2 linked regions of the Oryzias latipes genome follow. The protein of the gene in region 1 binds, or shares a complex with, the protein of each later gene. Links are inferred from orthologs where the notes say so. Each region holds a gene or a part of one and is shown on either strand. Other genes may lie near its edges.

Region 1 (6,880 bases):
TGCTAGAAGAGGTTCACCGGAAATGATTAACCTAGCAGACCGGAAGTCAACAGATCTTACAGTTTACATTTAAAAAAATGAAAAGCGAGGAACATGAACATTCAATTTGGATTTATTTAATTGGAGTTCGTTCCAAATGACTTCTGTAGCATATTCTCCTAATTGAAGACACACAACATTAGCCATAAACGCCGCTCGAAATGCTATAAAACAATGCAAATAATTTCAAAATAAAACCATTTCTAATTCTTCCAATTCTTCTTCGTTCTAATTTTCCCAATAAAGCCGTTTCCCTGTAATAAAATGTCATCTTGTAATGGAAGGGCAGCTGTTTATCTGTCAAGTAAAATAAATAAATTAAAATATAATGTTAAAATAACCTGAGAAACTATTTAAGTTGTTACATATGTGAATCTCTAGAAAGTACTAGTAGTACCGATAGTAGTAAGGTAATGTTGCTATTGCAATAGTTCCTTTCTTTTTCTGTGCAAAAGGTTAATCATCTTTGTTTTTTTGCATAAAAATTTTGAAAATAAAAGTTAGCCCTTTTTTTTAAACTTGATTGTTAGCTAAACTGATCCTGAAAAGTAAAACAAATACAGAGTAGATTGCAAGCGTATTTAAAATTGGGCAATGTCAAAGTCTCAGAGAAAACATTTCCTGCAGGATAGCGATGAAACTTTAATTTCTTGTCGTATTTTTACACTGCTGATGTCAATAGAAATGTCAAACTATATTTTCCCTGTAAAGACTTTGCGCAAAATATATATATATTTTTAAATTAGTTTAAAATTTTAAGACAAACTTTTGTTTGGTTTTGCATTTTTAAGGCAGTTTGCACGAAGTATTCCTGACTATAATCTCTTCACATAAAGATCAGAATATTCACCAAAAGTAATAAAACTTTATTATTCATGACAGAACAAAGAAAAAAACATTAAAATCTTTTGATTACAAATCATCTAAAAGTATCTACAGAGTTATGCACACAACAGTAAGCCAGGTAAACTCTTCTTTTTCTTTAGAGTCCTTGGAGTTTACTGTAAAGACAAAGGAAATGTTTAGTGTAAACACTATAACAGTCAAAGAAAGCTTATGTAAATAGAAAAATATGACTGTGTCTCACCTGTCCTCTACAGTTTTGTTGGACGGGTAATACACCTTGAATGTGAAGCCGCTTTTAGGGAATGAGCCCTGCAGAAATAAACATTTGTTAGACATTTCAAATAACTAAAGGGTAATATAAGTACCTAGAAAAATGAGGAAAAATAAAACAAAAGACTATTGAGGATTCTTCAGTCTCATACCGGGTTGACACTGAGGCAGTCAGTGTTGGTGATGGTGAAGGGGTCGTACTTGTCTGCAAAGACAACGACATCAGGCACCGGGTAGACGCGCAGGGAGTAGTCATAGGCCCAGAACACAGGACTGACGTACAAAGGCAGCGGAGTCAAATGACCCTGAGACAGGATCGTCTTAACAAACTGTGAGAAAGAAAAGAGGAAGACATCATCGCCTGAAGCAACATCATAAATGTACAACATATATATTTAGATAATTAAAAAAAATAAACTGATAGCCGAATGTACCAGAGGGACAAAAGCTTACAGAGATGACATGAAACGTACATGGTTTGGGATGTCAAGGTTACTGTTGGGTAACCTGATGCAATTCCTGCACATCTTGTTAACAAGATCCTCTCTGATCACTAGGATCTCCTGGCTGCAGTACTGGATCCTGGTCAGAACAAAAGTCCGTTTTTATCATAGTTTAACATGACAAACTCATTTTATGTAGACAGTTAACATCTATGAGTGGAACTGTATGTTTTACCTGCATGGGTTGGTGGTAAAAACTGAGAATGGCACTCTCTCACTGAACTCCTCTGTGATGTTTTGTACCAGGGGGGGCCTAAAATATATTTACAAGAGATGTTTGTCCAGAACTCGGATCAAAATGTCAGCTTCCTCAGTTCTAAAAAATGATTCTGAAGATTCACCTCGGCAGGATGTTTGCTGGACCGGGGTCCTCAGGACCCGGAACGAACACGAAGCGACTACTGCAGGGTTTAGATGAGTCGGCGTTTAAACTGGAACGCAGAGTATGACTCAGAGAAAAGGGTCAAATCCTACCTGCTGTGAATGCTGGGATATGTACAGATCATGTCAGCCAGGGCTTTCAGGGATTCTAATAGAAAAACAAAAGACAAATATTATTGATTGACGTCTGCACAAATTTTTACAATGTTCATTCATTCAAAATGTTCGTTTTCATTTATTTTATCCATGTTTAGAACCAATCCCCCCTTTGTGGTGCATCTATTTTATTTTTGTATTTTAACAAATTCACTCTTTAATATTTAGATGCCTATGGTAATATTTGACCTTACTGTTTTGAAAGGTCATAAGTGAAAATTATGAATAAGCTTTACTGATACACTTATTTGATTATATTAGTTTAAGATTGAAAGTGAGCTTTTTTTTCTATTAATAGCTCATATTCACAGAACTGCTTTTGTTTTTCAGTTCCTTAATTCCCCTTTCTTCAAGCAAAATTTTACAGTTTAGTGTTCCTTTGCACTGCAAAAATCCACCTTTGAAATAATAAAATATATATGTTTATTGTAACATGCAATTACGGCATAACTATTCAAACCGACAAAACTTGGTTGACTTGCAATGGCATCAAAATACATGTTCAATCGTTTTTCATCTTTAGAATCGAACTTTTATTAATCCCGTTTAAGGGAAATGTAAGAGACAACATAGCTGTAAAAAGAATAAATAAATAAATAAAAACAGCAGATTAGTACCGGTAACCATAAAAAATAAATTACACAATCAAAAATAAGTCCTTAGTTTCACATCTGGCCCCTATGAAGCATAAAAATATGGTACTACAAGTATGTTTACGAGCAGCCAGCATCACTAAATTGTTAAAGCACTAAATGCGGGACAGAAACAAGGCAAAGGAAAATAACAGAACCCCATTTAAAAGGGAGAAAAAGCTCTCATTCTTTACCAAGCATGCAGCCAAAAGAGGCTCACCTTTCAGCGATCTATTCTGTGTTTTTCCATATGGGGCCGAAGAGAAGTTTCCACACAAAATGAAGCAGGTAGGAGGCATTGCAGCATATCCTAAACAGAGAAAAACAATAACAACGTGAAGCCCATGAAGAATAGAATATTGTTCTGTGAAATTCTGCTTTACCTGAAAACATGATGTTGAGCTTTTCCATCACTTCTACGCTGTCCAGCCAGACGTCAGAGACGATCACAAACATGGCATCTTCGTTCTCTTCCTCCAGCTGCTTGAGCTTGGAGGAAGCCTTGACGGACGTGGACGATGGACCGCCAAAGAAGTTTATGTTGCCGTAGTACGACCTGGAGTTTATGCAGACAGTATATTATGGTATGGGAGAAACAAATCCCCCTGCACCAACTGTGCTTTCATAAAAACCATCCTTTAAATTATTTCTAACATTTAGAACTGGATTCTTTCTAATTTCAAACTATTTTGAAAAAGCAATAAAAATGTAAATGTAGCTCCTCTTAACGGTCTGCTTGACTTGTCTTGATTGTGCTTCTATAGTTTCCTTCATTACCTGCACATTTATTAAAAGTTGCTGGCCGCCCTAACAGCAGTCGTCCCTCACTTAACTACAGGTCACTTTTAATGCTTTTGTCTTTGTATTGATTTTTTTTTTGCGGTGCATTGCTTTCTATGTCCTGATTGGCTGTAGAACATCATCAAATCTGATTTGATTGATTGATTAATTAATTAATTTCAATAAAAAAAAGACTGAATAAAGACACATAAAAAACATTTCAGATATAAAGAATAAATTGATTAGAAAATGTTTGTCTCTTTGTCTTTGTGCTGCGTCTCCTGTACAGAAAGTCTTCAGTTCGTCAGAGTTACATAAATCCTAATCAGATATTTGGGGTCATTCTATATAATATTGGACTTCATTTTCTATGAAGGTTTAAACTCAGAGTTTAAACAAGAAAGAAAAGCGTCAAAATGTTCATGTCTGTCTGAGAAAAGTGCACAAAAGTGTGTTGTGAGACATTTTATAGCCTTAAAATATTTAAATTGACTGGGTTTAGTTTAGTTTGTCTATCATTAGAAAGTAACTCCCGTGATAAACGTGGAATTACTGAACAGAAATTCGAGTCCGCAGGTTTACCTGGTCGCCGATGACGGCTCTGTTGGGGGGAAACCAAAGCCATTGACATGAAGAACAGAATCCTCGTACCACCCTGCAGAACAAACAGGAACCCTTTTATTTTAGCTCCACACCTTTCCAAAGCTGTGGAGTTAAACAGAATTAGTCTTACCTTCTGCCAAAACAAAGCAGGACTCTGTATAGAGGCCATTATGGAACTGGTAAAAAAAATAGTGCTCAGGAAAATGTTTCTTTGCAATTGTAATAAACTTTTTTTTTTAGTGGCAAACCCTAAAGTCTTTCAAAGGATATTGCCTTGGACAAATCCAGCTGTACGGTTCCACTTGGATCTTCGAGGTAAAATTTACCCTTTAAACATAAAAACAAATTGGGCCAAAAAAAAAAAAAAGGTTCATCTTAAATAAATCTCATCTTGTTAGCGATTGAAAAAATCAGTTCAAAAGTTTCTTATCTAACCTCTTTAAGTTGTGTGATCATCCCGAGTACGATCACCTCCCCAAGCTTAGATGTGCTCCCGAGCAACGCTTCAATTGTCTTGAGCTACACAAACAAGAAAAGAGGTACATTAGTAGCCACACAAATGGTTTCAACTCTTAAACAAAATAATACTTTGGTCATTTTTAGATTGGTATACGTTTCCTTTACCTGAAATTTATTTTGACCCTCTTCAACAGCAGCTCCAATTGCTGGTGGGGTGAAGAGCTCATGACGGTGTGTGCGCTTAAAAAACGAAAACAAATAAATGTGAGCATGAGCATACCTGCAGAACAGAACAGCGTAATCCAGTTATTGTGACGTACCTGCTGTAAGATTGTATAGCGCTCCCTGAAAAGTTCCGCTTTGTCTTTGGCAGAACCACACAGACTGGGAGCTGGATGACCGGTCATATTGATGCTGCAAGAAAAAGGAAATACAAGTGTAGCAAAACACAAAAATGTGGCAACACCAAAACACTCAAATCAGACTCCTGTAAATAGAAAGAAGAAGAAAAAAGAAAAGCTCACGGTAGAAATTTCTTTCTCTCCACGCTGTAAATGTATCTGGGCACGTCAAAGGCTCCAATGATGTTAAAAATATTGTCACTGCAAAAGAATTCAAATTAATATTATTTAATGACCACAAACTGTAGCAAACATTTTATTTAGTTTAATTTATCACAAAAACAAAGCACAGTTTTGCAGCAGTTCACATTACAGTGACACAGACAGAATATCTCGTAACAACAAGAACAATAAAGAAATAAATTTAAGAAAAACGTTTTATATTTTCTGTTCTAATTGATAAACGTTTCTTACATGGTTTCATCACATGACTGGGTGCAGTCCTGTACAGCACTTTCTACCACAGCCAGCTCGATCATATTCGAGGACACTGTTGGTAATAAAAAACAAACACATAAATCAGCTGAAGCTACTTGGAAGTGAAGAGTGTCAAGATGTTTCCAGAAGAGAAGACATTAAGTCTAGATGCCAAAACACAACTTCTAGGCATTGTCAGCTGGATAATCTTCAGCACTAAATGTGTGATGAAGATCTTCCAGATTGAACACATGATCCATTTTTCCTCATCGGTACACCAAAAATACACAGAGACTTGCAGAAAGTGACTGAAGTACACTTACACGGCTGCTTCTCCACCGAATCCAGCACCTTCTCAATGACATCCTCAAGTTCAGAGACATTGACTGATTCCAGGACTTCAGCAAGATACCGACTGGCTTCACTGGAGAGGAGAGAAAAACTAAAAATCCTATACAACAACACAACCTCATAAAAACACATAATAAACCTAAAGAAGAAAATGAACAAAAGTACAATGAGGTTCTGTAGTCGATACTACTATAAATAATAGAAAAATCAAAGGTTCACATTTATTACACAAAAGGCAAGCTTACGGTCGAAGTATAAGTCCCCTCATCTTGAAACCAGCCGTCACTTTAGCCTTTATTTTTCGAGGTAAATCCATGTTTGTGTTTGTTGCAGCGGCTCAAGATTTGGCGCTAAAAGGCAACTTCCGTGTTTTTCGTCACTTCCGCCAATGAGGGATTTCTTCTTTTTTCCTTTGTATTGTTTTTTTTGCTTCTCCTCCATTTTTCAGCCAATTACAATTTTATTCAAGGGGTTCACTTTTATGAAAAAGTTTAAAAATATAATAGCAAGTCCTCGAATTGCCTTTTTTAAATTTTTGCTTTGTTCAAATGTTTTCCAAAAGAATGTTACCATGAAAGATCAAACGGAAGCTTAATATTATAAAATTACGTTACACTTTGAAATAACAAAAATAAAAATGTTAACTTTTTTTCTTGAGAGCACTGTATTTAATTATTTGCAGTTGTTGAAACTAGAGAGAAAAAAACAGGAACGCTAAGTAACAAAAAATACTCTGTTAATATTATAAACAAATACATGTGGTAATGATATGTACTGTACAATATAAAAACGTTTATTATTTAGCTTAATACGATAATGACTACTAAATGGCAACAGGCTGCCCATTAATTTGAAAGACCAACACCGGAAATGCAGTTAATGCGAAAATAGCGGGGGGTTTTATCGGTGTTTTACACTCATAGTGTTTTTTTTTTTTTTTTTTTTTTTTTTTTGACAGCTAACCACAAATAATAAACATAAAAAAATATTTCATGTTTGTATAAGTATGTAACCTATAACATACATGATGGTTTTACAGGCA
Region 2 (11,910 bases), on another chromosome or scaffold:
TTAAACTCACCCCCTCAGATGTCCAAACTGCACTGAGCCGGACCAACGCACGCAAGGCTGCTGGCCCGGATGGCATTCCTGGACGTGTGCTTAGGGCATGTGCAGAGCAGCTTGCAGGGGTCTTCACAGACATTTTCAACCTGTCCCTCTCCCAGGCAACTGTGCCAACATGTTTTAAGTCCACATCCATTGTGCCAGTACCGAAACACTCCTCCCCAACGTGCCTGAATGACTATCGCCCCGTGGCACTCACACCCATCGTTATGAAGTGCTTCGAGCGACTGGTCCTAGCACACCTCAAAGACTGCCTCCCACCCACACTGGACCCACACCAATTTGCCTACCGCAGAAATAGGAGCACAGAGGATGCAGTATGCACAGTGCTGCACTCTGCACTCACACACCTGGACAATAACAACACATATGTTAGGATGTTGTTTGTTGACTTCAGCTCAGCATTTAACACCGTCATTCCCTCCAAGCTGACCACAAAACTTGGAGACCTGGAAATCAACACCTCCCTCTGCAACTGGATTATGGACTTTCTGACCAACAGGCCTCAGCATGTTCGGTCAGGTCACACCCACTCCACCACCATCACACTTAATACTGGCGTACCACAGGGCTGTGTGCTGAGCCCATTCCTCTACTCTCTTTACACCCACGACTGCAAGCCCGTGCATGGAACCAACTCCATCATTAAGTTTGCAGATGACACCACGGTGATTGGCCTCATCAGTGACAATGATGAGACTGCCTACAGGGAAGAGGTACAGCACCTGGCCACATGGTGTGCTGACAATAACCTGCTCCTCAACACCAACAAGACCAAGGAGCTCATTGTGGACTTCAGGAAGAAGAATGGAAGCACTCATGACCCCATCCACATTAACGGGATGGTTGTTGAACGTGTTTCCAGCTTCAAGTTCCTGGGAACCACCATCTCGGAGGACCTGTCCTGGGCCACAAACACCTCCAGCCTGGTCAAGAAGGCTCACCAGCGCCTTTTCTTCCTCAGGACACTGAAGAAGAACCAGCTGTCTTCATCCATCCTGGTGAACTTTTACCGGTGTGCGATCGAGAGCACCCTAACAGGTTGCATCTCAGTCTGGTACGGGAACTGCTCAGTGGCTGACCGCAAGGCACTGCAGAGGGTGGTGAAAACTGCCCAGCGCATCACAGGGACACCACTTCCTGCTCTTGAGGACATCCAGAGGAAACGCTGTCTACGTCGAGCTCGCAGCATTCTCAAGGACTCCTCTCACCCTGACCACGGACTGTTTAACCTCCTCCCCTCCGGGAGGCGTTTCAGGAGCCTCCGGACAAGGACCACAAGATTCAGGAACAGCTTTTTCCCTAAAGCTGTCTCCTTGCTGAACTCTTCCCTCTGACACCCCTAAAACACCCCCCCCCCCCACACACACACCACCATAGACTCCTCCCCCCCTCTTCAACACTCTGAATCATTTATTTATTCACAACAAGCAAAAACAGTAACTTATTACTTGCACTACTGTCTGTTCATCCAGGAACACTGTATAATCCATCTGCACATTGTAATATTTTCTATGCACTTTACTGTCCATTGCAATACTGTAAATTATGTTCATAGTTCTGCCTATAGTGTTCATACCCTTTTACATAGCCCATCTGTATAGTATATTCATAGTACACCTATCTGTATATCGTGCTTATAGTATTAATATCTGTAAAGTATGTCCATAATACTAACCTGTATAGTTATTGTACATCCTATAGAACTTTATTCTGTACTTACTGCTTATTGCACTTCTGGTTAGATGCCAACTGCATTTCGTTGCCTTGTACCTACATGTGCAGTGACAATAAAGTTGAATCTAATCTAATCTAATCTAACCGTTGCTTCCATGGTGGGTATTGTTTTCTTCCATGGTTGCTCTTATAGCCAAGCATCTCAAGGATCACTGCTGCTGAAGTGTAAACCATTTCATTGGTTTCTGTGATGGTTGTGGTAGGAATTGCCCTCAATGCTTCATTCACAGTTTCCAGTAGACTTTCAGGCGGTACATCACTTAACCGTTGTAGCTGGTGTCGGGGCTGCCTAGTGTTCATTGTAGACATGATCTTGTCTTTCAGGTCAGTTGCTGCCTCGCTCAGTGTAATTGTGGTTGTTGGGGCTGTGTACCCAATCTCAGGGTGGGAGTGTGGTATAACCTCCTCTCTGACCTGTTGTTCTGGCTCTCCCATGGCATTGTATTGTATTGCTTCAATCTCAAGTTGTGATAGGAGTTGCTGTTTGTGGATGTTAGAGCACTGGGCTACCAGTTGTTTGGCAGTTAGCCCTGATTGTGGGTTTCGAAGCATCCATTCATTCCACATTCTCTGCATGTAACCCCTCTGGGTGGGATTACTTGAGTAGTAGCATTCTAACAGAACCTTGTTCTCACATCTAGTCCATTTCCGTCTTGTCCCAGTAGCCGACTTTCCATCAGGGTTCTCTGGTCCCTCAGCACCTGACGCAGACCTTGTTTGGCCGGGCGACGTCTGAGCCGGCATGACATGTGGTTCATTGTCTCTCATGTTGTGAGGTAGGCGGTAGCATTAAGGGTCTTGCCCAAGGACCCTCACTGGGTGATGTTAATTGCCCGTCATTGTTATGGTAATTGCCCCATTTCCATTGTCATGGTAATTGCCCCATTTTTCATTGCCATTAATTGTTCATTCCGCCCTGGGAATCGAACCCGGGTTTCCTGCATGACAGTCCTGCACCTTACCAACCGAGCTACCCAGCCGGAAATATATATATATATATATGTTCTGCAATATAGAAGAAATTTTAGACTAGTCTTTTGCTTAGAATATCCCAGATATTGTCTTATTTGTAATTTTCTAAGTCGTGCCTGGAATCAGTCAACACGGTTCATTTGTTGAATTGTTGAAGCAGCATTTTTTAAATGCGTTTTTTGAAGGTGATTTCTTCAATTGTTGTGTTCAGATTGTTTCAGGTCTTGACTCCTTGAATTAAAATACGGTTCGCCTGTTTTTGTTCTGAAATTTGGCAAATAGAAAATTACTAATCTTTTTAATCTATAAATACTCCTTTTTTCCTTAATCTTCTTTGAATATTTTGTTGCAGTAGTTTTTTTAATGTTTTATTTTTCCTTTCCTCCTGCTGGTCTGAAGATCGCCTGAGATGCACATTTGAACAGTTTCCCCAAAGACGACTGTCATCTTGTGAGGAAAAAGAGGTGCTAAGTACAAATAGAAGGGACCACATTAGCCCTTGTGCTATCATGTGGGGTCCAGATGACCCGATCTTTACATTGACGTGTTCTCCCTACCATGACAAAGGTGGATAAAGGTGGAAAGATTTCATGTAATCCATGGACACCAGTGAAGATCACAAATCATTGAAGAAAAAAGGTTCAGCGCACTGTCTAGTGGGTCTAGATGACCCAACTCCCAACGTCAACGTGCCTAGGATAGCACAAGGGTTACGGCTGAACGATATGAGGAAAACTTGCGATATTAATGATCAAAATTGCGATGACGCTATAACTTGCGATACATGAACAAATAGCAAAACAACCAAAAACATAATTTCCATTTCACTGCTACAGTTTAATTTAAATAAGAGTTAAAATAACTTAAATTATACTTCAAATGAAACTAGTCTGCATAGGAGGTGAACATCTAATATAAAAGGGCTTCATCTGATTGGTCAAATGCGTAAATGGATTTATTTGATTCACTAAATACTTCAAGGTGCCATAAGTTTGTTTAAGCACATTTCAAGTACCGGTATCCTCTTATTGTGATTTTCGCCATCTTTTGCGATAAGCGTATTGCACAGATAGATATCACCATAACGATAAATTTGCGACTTATTGAGCAGAACTAGACCACATAGATCCCACCAGCTTTGCTATCAATAAAATGTTCGTTTTGTACGGTTCCACCTGACTCAGGCTTTCACAGATAAAAGGGAAATCATTAAAATCCAGAAGGATGAATGTTTCATGAACTTTCTATATGAACCATTCATTTAACATCATAACCACATGTGGTTCAGCCGTGAATTCTGGACTCATTTAATCATCTTTTCTGATCATAATCAATAAGCACCTTATGTTATTATTACTTGAAGTGATTATGTATTTTGTCTTTTTTGGAATCATCTTTGCTATTATTTGGAATATGAACCCTCCTCGCCCCATTCCTTAAGCAATTTACCAAAGTCTATATTTATCCTATTAAATGAGTCATGTAGAATATGTATGGAAGAAAATTATTATATTTATGATGTCATTTACACATGCTTGTATACTTAAAACTATGCATTTCTATTATTTTCCTCTGTAATTTTTATATTACTATTAGTTCATGACTTGTCTTAAGTTAGTTTTATCTATATCTATCATTTTGTGTGTTTTCTTAAGTTTTTGTTTCCTTGAAATGAACCAATTCCCATTTTAAAAACAAATATTCCAATATTTCAGGACTTTACTCTGAAGTCAAAAACTATGACGGCCTGTTTATTTCACATAAACATGTATGTTCTCAGCCCAAATATACTTTCGACTCACAATAGCTAATATAAAGTACTGGCATCCAAGGATCCAGCGTCCATAAAACATAAAGGTTTAGGTGTTTACAGTTTAGATTTGAACCCTTTTAGGAAGTTTTTAGTTGTTTCTTTCCGAAAACACAAACTTATCAAGGAAATGAATCAGAATCATGTTGTGACTGTCTGAAAATACAAACCTGTTGTTTTCTTTTCTTTTTATAAAATGTTCAAGAATTTAATTCCTTCAAACTTTATTAATCAAAACGATTCTAAATGTATTTTAAGATGCTGGCAACCAACCTTACCCACAATGCAGCAAGGAATGACTTTAGAAATAAACCGGTAGTTTCAAACGCATTTATTTCAGTGAATTTAGCAAAAATATTTACACAACAGTGTACATATGTACGAGTCCTTAAGCAGAAGAGCTTTTTGTCTCTGCACAAACGGACCGGAGGAAGTCGCTCGCTCGCTCGCGCCGCCCGTCAAGCCGGTCGTCTCTAGTCCAGCGTGCCTGCAGAGAAAAAAATGATACAGTTACCGGATGCACAAACATGTCAATGAAATGTTCCTGTGCACACGCTGTCAGTAACATGCATGTGCAGAAAGAACGTGGGTTTTTTTACCTTCAAGAAATGCAAACTCGTCTACGGCCTCTATTGCGTTGTCTGCAGGGACAACAAAACAACAACAAACGAATGAAACTCAGGAGGAGAAACCACTGAAGTTTGTCAAATGAAACACAAAAAAGAAACTAAATATGTTTGAATTTTAATGAATTTAATGTTCATTTGTTTATTCTACTGTCCCACTCCGATCATCTGTTGATCCATTTTCAAAACCGTCTTTCAATTATAATGATGCCGTTTTTTGTTTGTTTGTTGTTTCGTGGACATATTTTCTGTAGAGTGGCAGGAGTTCAGTAGAAATTCACCTGCGAGTTGTGGGCGGGGCCTTGGGCCATAGCAACCCATTCCCTAACCGTGTCTGAGAGTTCTCTGTTTACATACTCTCTTACATACAGCCCCTCAACCTAGCATGAGCGGTGCAACAGAAATGGCGAGCGATATTGGAGCCATCCAGAGTTTGGAGCCAGATGTGTTCTGTAGATGTTTGTTACTGACAGTGAAGAAGCGCCGCTCAGTCTTACGCCGCTCTTGTTAGCATGTTCTTTATGTCATGGTTATCTGAACAACTGTTCATATGTTTCACTAATTTGAATAGATTCCTCCTATTTGTCATCAAACTAAATACTTTTACAGTAGTGAAGTTGTAAATATTCAGTCTATACCTGCTATTTATTTTAAGATGAAATGTCTGGTATTTTTTACCGTGTTTTGTTAAATTAATTTCTCCCCAAAGTGCGACTTCTACATAATTATTTCTTCTTTTTTATCATTATTATTTGACTTATACTCTGGTTTGATTTATAGGTTGTTTCTGAATTCCCGCCCTAACCCCTAACTACTAAAAAACTATAGAGCGGCTCTATGTAGTGCCCTGGATTTGAAAAGAAATTCGGAGACCAGGCTCACTGCTTCAAATATCGATTCCACAAAGTTAAAATCTAATTAATATGAGCGTTTTATGACGATTATTTATTATGTCTTCTGAAGATAAAAATGTTGATAGTTTAACAAAAAATACATTTTTTGGCAAAAATCGTTCCGACGCAATGCATTGTGGTCTATATTCGCTGATCTAGTGAGCATTGATGCACGCTGGTTTTTGGCAGAGACTTCTGGGAAATTTCTAGGACTCTGGATTTGGGAGATTGTAGATTCAGACAGCACTACAACATGGCGAATGCGTTATCTGGTGAGTAGGGAAGGAATTTGGACACAACCTACAATTCCAAACTCCAGTGCCCTAGAAACTTCCCAGAAGTCTCTGCGAAAATGATGCTCACTAGTTCGGCAAATATCGAGCACAATGCAGAGATGTGGAGCGTCCTCAGGCCTTACCCAGGTCCTTCCTCTGCAGAGTTTTCCTCTTCCCTTGCTGGGCGTAAACCAGAGCATCTTTGGCGATCATCTCAACGAACAACTCCTGGTAGGAAGAAGAGAGAAACATCACCATCATCATCATCATCATCATCATCACCTCTGACCATCATAGCATCCCATGGTGCCGTGCGGGGCCGAACCTTCTCCTCGCGGAGCGGGCTGCGGGTTCAGGGACTCACCGTGGCTTTGGCGATGATAAACACAGACTCTTGGCTGGCGAGGGACACGTCTGGGTCGGTTTTCATCAGGGCTTTGATGCGAGCCAGCGGGAGTTTGGACAGGCGGCTGCCGCCGGGTGCGGCGGGACCCGTCTGCTGCTGCTGGCCCCCGTCCCCCGCTTCCACTCCGCGGTTCTCCTCCTCACTCCCGCACCTGTCAGACTCCTGCTCCGTAGAGGAGACGAGCGCTGCCATTGAACGGGGAGTTATTTTCCCCCCCACCAAAAAGTGATCAAAAAACAGACGCGCGGATATTTATTAAGCTTTCTAACTTCATGACAAAGATAAAAGTAACAAACGAAGGCGAACAGCAGCGCGCCAGCATGTGCTTCCGGTCTAGTAGAGGCACTGCATCCCTATTGGTCAGTTTCCTTTGGTCCCGCCAACGCTTTCAAGTCAATGATTGGACAGATTGGACAACAAAGCCGTATGATTGGTCAAACGTGACTGCCACTCAAACAATGTTACCGCCCAACTACCGACAACTCAGTGGCTCAGTCAAATGTTTATCAGCTGTAAGACTCTTTCAAATAAATTTGGTGAATATAATTTAATCTTTTCATTAAGATTAGTAGATAAAAGAAAAAAGTGGGTTAAAAATAAATTAACAAAACACCAATAAACAAAATGTCCACAAGGTGGCAGCAAAGTGAAGCTAAATATAAAGCTGTTAAAAGCAACAATCTAAACAAAGAGAAATTTAAAAATTACTCCCGAAACTACCTGACAAAAACGGTTTGAAAATATCTGGTACTCTTTTCTTTTGATTATTATGTATTTTATTTTTTCATTTAATCTGTTTTTATTTAAAGTTTCCTTACTGTACATTGCCCCTAATTTTGCATACCCAATAAAAAAGTTAAAATGTTGCAAAGAAAACGCAAATTAAGTTTTATGAAAACTGTAAATATTTTTCAATTATGTTGTCAGAAGACATTTCTTTAACTTTTTTTTGGTCATTTTATTGAGCATCTATATTTAAACATGTGTTTTTTACTCAAGAAAAGAAAAAAGACTTTATCAGAACTGCTGTGCTGTTGCCTCTAAACTCTTTACCTTTTTTTAAGAGGAAAGTGTTTTGCAATGAAACAGACTGTATTTAGCCATTTTAATTTCAATTGTATAAACATAAAAATGTTGGTTTTCTGTTGCTCAGACACACAAAATACAATTCTGCAGCCTCTTATTTCCTTTAGAATTATTGTGTATAGAATAATGCTTAGGAAATGACAGATAATATGTTCAAATGCCAATATTAGAAACAAGAAACTTTGCAGTTGTTTTTTTTAACTTTGCACTCCGAAGAGCTCCGCCCTGCAGGCTGTTAACGACACTGCATTTGATTGCTATACATGGGGGCTGCAGGTAGATATAACTTCTCCTCAACTTTGGGGTCTAATTTAAAAATATGTTTAAAAATATATATTCGCTTGATTTATTCCTTTTTAATTTTTTTTGTAAAGAAAATAAATGACGAGGACAGAAACCCCTTTTCTCATTTTTCCCATTTTTTAAATTTAAAACCAAAAAAGAAATGTATATAATTTCTTTAAATGATGTAATGTTTTTTTCACATGTTTTTCTTTTGCTGCGGATGTTTTTGTGTTCATGTATTTGACTTTAAAAAAAAAAGAATAGATCCGGTGCTGCCTCATTCTGAGGTCATCTGATTTTATTTCACAGTAAGAAACAGACTTTAGTGCATAAATGTGATCGACTGCGGTTCAGGCATTGAAATGATCATTTCAGCGTTTTCCATGAGGGACAGTTCGTTCCGGAGAACATGATGTGCAGTTCCCTAATACACTGCATTAATAGGATTGTGAGGAGCGATTGAGCCTCTGAAGCTCCTTCACGTTTGGTCACAGTCAGGTATTAGAGCGGCCGCGACGGAGATGAAGGATCCACAAAATCCAGGTAACTTTAAAGCAATTTTATCTACTTTTTTAATTTATTTTTTTAACAGTGAAAAGTGGTTGGATGTGATTCATTACTTGCTTAGAAATTGTTTAAAGGTTGCATTATTTTTCTTATTTGTCATATTTAATAAAAAGCAAAAGTAATTGTAAGAACATCAAATGCTTTTAACTTGCATTTCAACATTAGTTACAAGTTTTTCTTCGATGCTATACAGTCGATGACAACTGCAAATTAGATTAATTTTATAGAAATAACGCTCAGATTTATAAATGGACAGTTTTCAATTCATGCATTTACTTATTCGGTGGATGAGTTTATTGTAAAGTTGAAACAAGTGACATTATTTTATCTGAGTTAAACTTATAGTGAAAACATTTTGTCTATTAAAACTCTCATCCATCCAGGATGGTTCTGAAGTAGAAAAAGACTTCAAAAGGTCGTCTGATTTAAGTTTTTTATCTTCACAGAGAGTCCAGAACGTTTTATTCTTTATTGTGAAATGCAAATATTGAAACATCAGTTATTGCTTTTATTTATTTCCAGGTTTATGGACAAAATGACAGCAGTGCTATACTCATATGCTACTGTATTTATGACTTAAGGGGTTTCTGACTGTGACCTTATTTCAGGTTTTCTCAAGTAATCGTCTGAATGGCTTTCTCCAAACAGAAGTGGCTCACTAATACTCAGACTAAAAGAAGCAAGTAATCCAAGCCATTCCAGGACTTTAGCCAGCCCTGTGCTAAATTTAACCCACATTGCCCTGGAGGTGGCACGCTACCATCACAGTACAGACAGCAGACTTAGTTTGAAACCTGCAAAAAAGCGCTGCTCTGTTATTCTGAAGGTTTTCTGGCACACGAGCAGAGCAGCTTTGACCCTGCAGCCACGGCTCTTTATTTAATCCTGCTGCAATCAGCCGTTTCCTGGAAAACGGCAGGAAACTCGCCGTAAAGTTGGCAAAAAGAGAGAAACTATTGTGCAGGGAGAGAAGAACGAAGGCCCGGAAAGACATAGATCTCAGTCCAAGAATCAGATCTGGAAATAAGGAGCAGAGAAGTTTCCAGCTAATGTTCTGACCCACAAGTCCAGAATGAAGGGATTTTAAATCTTCAAAAAATGGCTTTGGGCTGCTGTGTGGTGTCAGACATTTGACAATTGGGAACAATAAAATGCAGACAGGAATCTCAGGGTGTTTTCTTATTTAACCCCGTAAATCCTCTGGATTAAAGAACGGGGGGGGGGTTAAGATGTTTTTGATAAAATTGCAATCTAATTATTTGTGATATTAATAGTACCAATTAGGATTTGTTAGGTCATTATTCAGTTTTTGCTCACAACAATATTAGTTTGTTAAGGACAAAATCCCCTAATTTACCCACTGTCTCATATTTGATCCACCGTGCTGTGACTTAACTATCAAAAATGAATTATCAACAAATGCAGCTTTCTTTGAATACACCAAGTAGTAATGTAAAACAAATGAATAACAATACATCAGTCATTGTCACCATAAAGTTTTGAAAATAAAACATTTCCCGCAAAAACTCTTTTTGAGATTTCACCTACGACTGTAGAAAAGGACTGGACTGAGCGAGTGTGATATCGCCCATAGAAAGTCACTGCCTTACTTCCGGCTCCAGCCAAACGAAGCCAAATCAGACGCCATTTGTCTGCGGTGCGGACGTCGCCATGCTGGAGCCGGACGACGGTGGTGATTGGTCCAAGTCGGTCTGAGTCGACGTTTCTATGGCAACCGCTGTCTCCAATCAGGAGTGAGAATGTTTGAAGTCCACCACCCTTCCACTGAAGGCGGGCTTGTGAGAATCTCTCAATCAAACGTTCAAGGTGGGGGCCAGCGGGCACCTGAGGCATCTGATTGGTCAGTTCATAACTTGAATATTTGAGATAAGACTAATAGAATTGAATTGAACGACTGAGTAACAGCTGTTTAGTTCTTTGCAGAAGTCTAAGGGATTTTGGCTCCTGGGAGCCAGTAGGTACTTCCTGTTTGGAACGCCAGAAGGGAGGAGTCACTCAGTCCAGTTCTCATATACAGTCAATTGATTTCATTCAATTCAATTTTATTTGTATAGCCAAAAATCACAACAACAGTCGTCTCGATGGGATTCATTCATGAAAGTATTCATTTTGAAATGAACAGAAAAAGCCCTTCTACTGCCCCGAGTGGACTGACTTTGAGTTACAGGGCAGAAAACATTGGACTCAGACAATTTCCAAATTCCCTCCCTACTACCTAACTACTAGAAAAAACATATAGTGCGGGACTTTCTAGTTAACTGGATTCTAAAAGCAATTCGGACACCACTGCTTTTTTTTTAATGGCAAATATGACGTCATCGATTTCTAGAAGTAAAACCTAATAAACATGAACATTTCATGAATCCACTAATGACGAAAACTAGGAGAGTTTCAGAAAAATAAAGTAAAACTCAACTTTTTCACATAAAAAATAATTTAAATTCAATGTATTGTGGTTTATTTTTGCCAATCTAGTGAGGATCGGTGGCCATTTATTGGTGCACACTGGTTTTTTCGCAGAGACTTCTGGGAAAATTCCAGGGCACTCCATTTTGGAACCTTAGATCCCGACAGCAGTACAAAATGGTAGCGAGCAGTGACGGAATTCTAAAGCAACCCAAGTTATGAACAAGTAAATTTTGAAGGAAAGTTTGGATCTTTAATTGGATATTTGGATCCTCCGGCAGCCCCGTGACCCCGAGAGGAACAAAACGGATCAGAGGATGAATGAATATAGGGTTCATTTCAGTCCTCTTTATTATTTTTAATTACAGTTTTTCGAAAGTTTATTAAGAAGTAATACAAAGCAGAAATCTTGTCTTGAATGAGAGTTTTTTGGATATAATTCTACTTTATTTGCAGTTATTAACAAACGCTGTTTTTTTATTTTATTCCTGCAGCTCCTCAGCTGTTTGGTCTGAATTCTCGCCCTCTCTTGTTTTAAAGCTGTCAACGCGCGGTTATGGCCAAAGCACAAAATGTGGAAAAAATCCAAGGATCAGACGGCGAAGGCGGACAAACCTGCCCTGCTTTCTCCCTCTTCTGCCGCCGGTGCCGTCCCACAGCTGACGGAGGCCGAGAGACTGAAGCAGACCCCCCTGGAAAGGGTGATTTACGACATGGCCCACAACGACAGGGTCGTCAACGAGCTGATTCTGGGGCGAAGAGTCAGTTTCTA

Evidence for each region.
Region 2: pole2 (region 1) and pole4 share a complex: the UniProt entries of both Homo sapiens proteins name them as parts of the DNA polymerase epsilon complex. The link is inferred for Oryzias latipes from reciprocal best matches to the Homo sapiens genes POLE2 and POLE4.

What each region holds. Positions count from the first base shown.
Region 1 is NC_019880.2:6,714,924-6,721,803, forward strand, and holds pole2 (DNA polymerase epsilon subunit 2), read right to left. Parts: upstream 6,253-6,880; 5' UTR 6,155-6,252; coding exon 6,084-6,154; intron 5,912-6,083; coding exon 5,811-5,911; intron 5,561-5,810; coding exon 5,485-5,560; intron 5,272-5,484; coding exon 5,194-5,271; intron 5,084-5,193; coding exon 4,990-5,083; intron 4,910-4,989; coding exon 4,835-4,909; intron 4,730-4,834; coding exon 4,646-4,729; intron 4,538-4,645; coding exon 4,481-4,537; intron 4,390-4,480; coding exon 4,341-4,389; intron 4,263-4,340; coding exon 4,190-4,262; intron 3,384-4,189; coding exon 3,211-3,383; intron 3,138-3,210; coding exon 3,048-3,137; intron 2,188-3,047; coding exon 2,133-2,187; intron 2,060-2,132; coding exon 2,000-2,059; intron 1,912-1,999; coding exon 1,834-1,911; intron 1,738-1,833; coding exon 1,629-1,737; intron 1,485-1,628; coding exon 1,308-1,484; intron 1,195-1,307; coding exon 1,127-1,194; intron 1,041-1,126; coding exon 1,022-1,040; 3' UTR 885-1,021; and 1 more. UniProt on the Homo sapiens protein: Accessory component of the DNA polymerase epsilon complex. Participates in DNA repair and in chromosomal DNA replication.
Region 2 is NC_019862.2:30,735,605-30,747,514, forward strand, and holds pole4 (DNA polymerase epsilon subunit 4), read right to left. Parts: upstream 7,138-11,910; 5' UTR 6,966-7,137; coding exon 6,732-6,965; intron 6,596-6,731; coding exon 6,511-6,595; intron 5,215-6,510; coding exon 5,173-5,214; intron 5,061-5,172; coding exon 5,047-5,060; 3' UTR 4,890-5,046; downstream 1-4,889. Other genes in the region: serine/threonine-protein kinase NIM1-like, read left to right, coding at 8,666-8,687, 11,679-11,910. UniProt on the Homo sapiens protein: Accessory component of the DNA polymerase epsilon complex. Participates in DNA repair and in chromosomal DNA replication.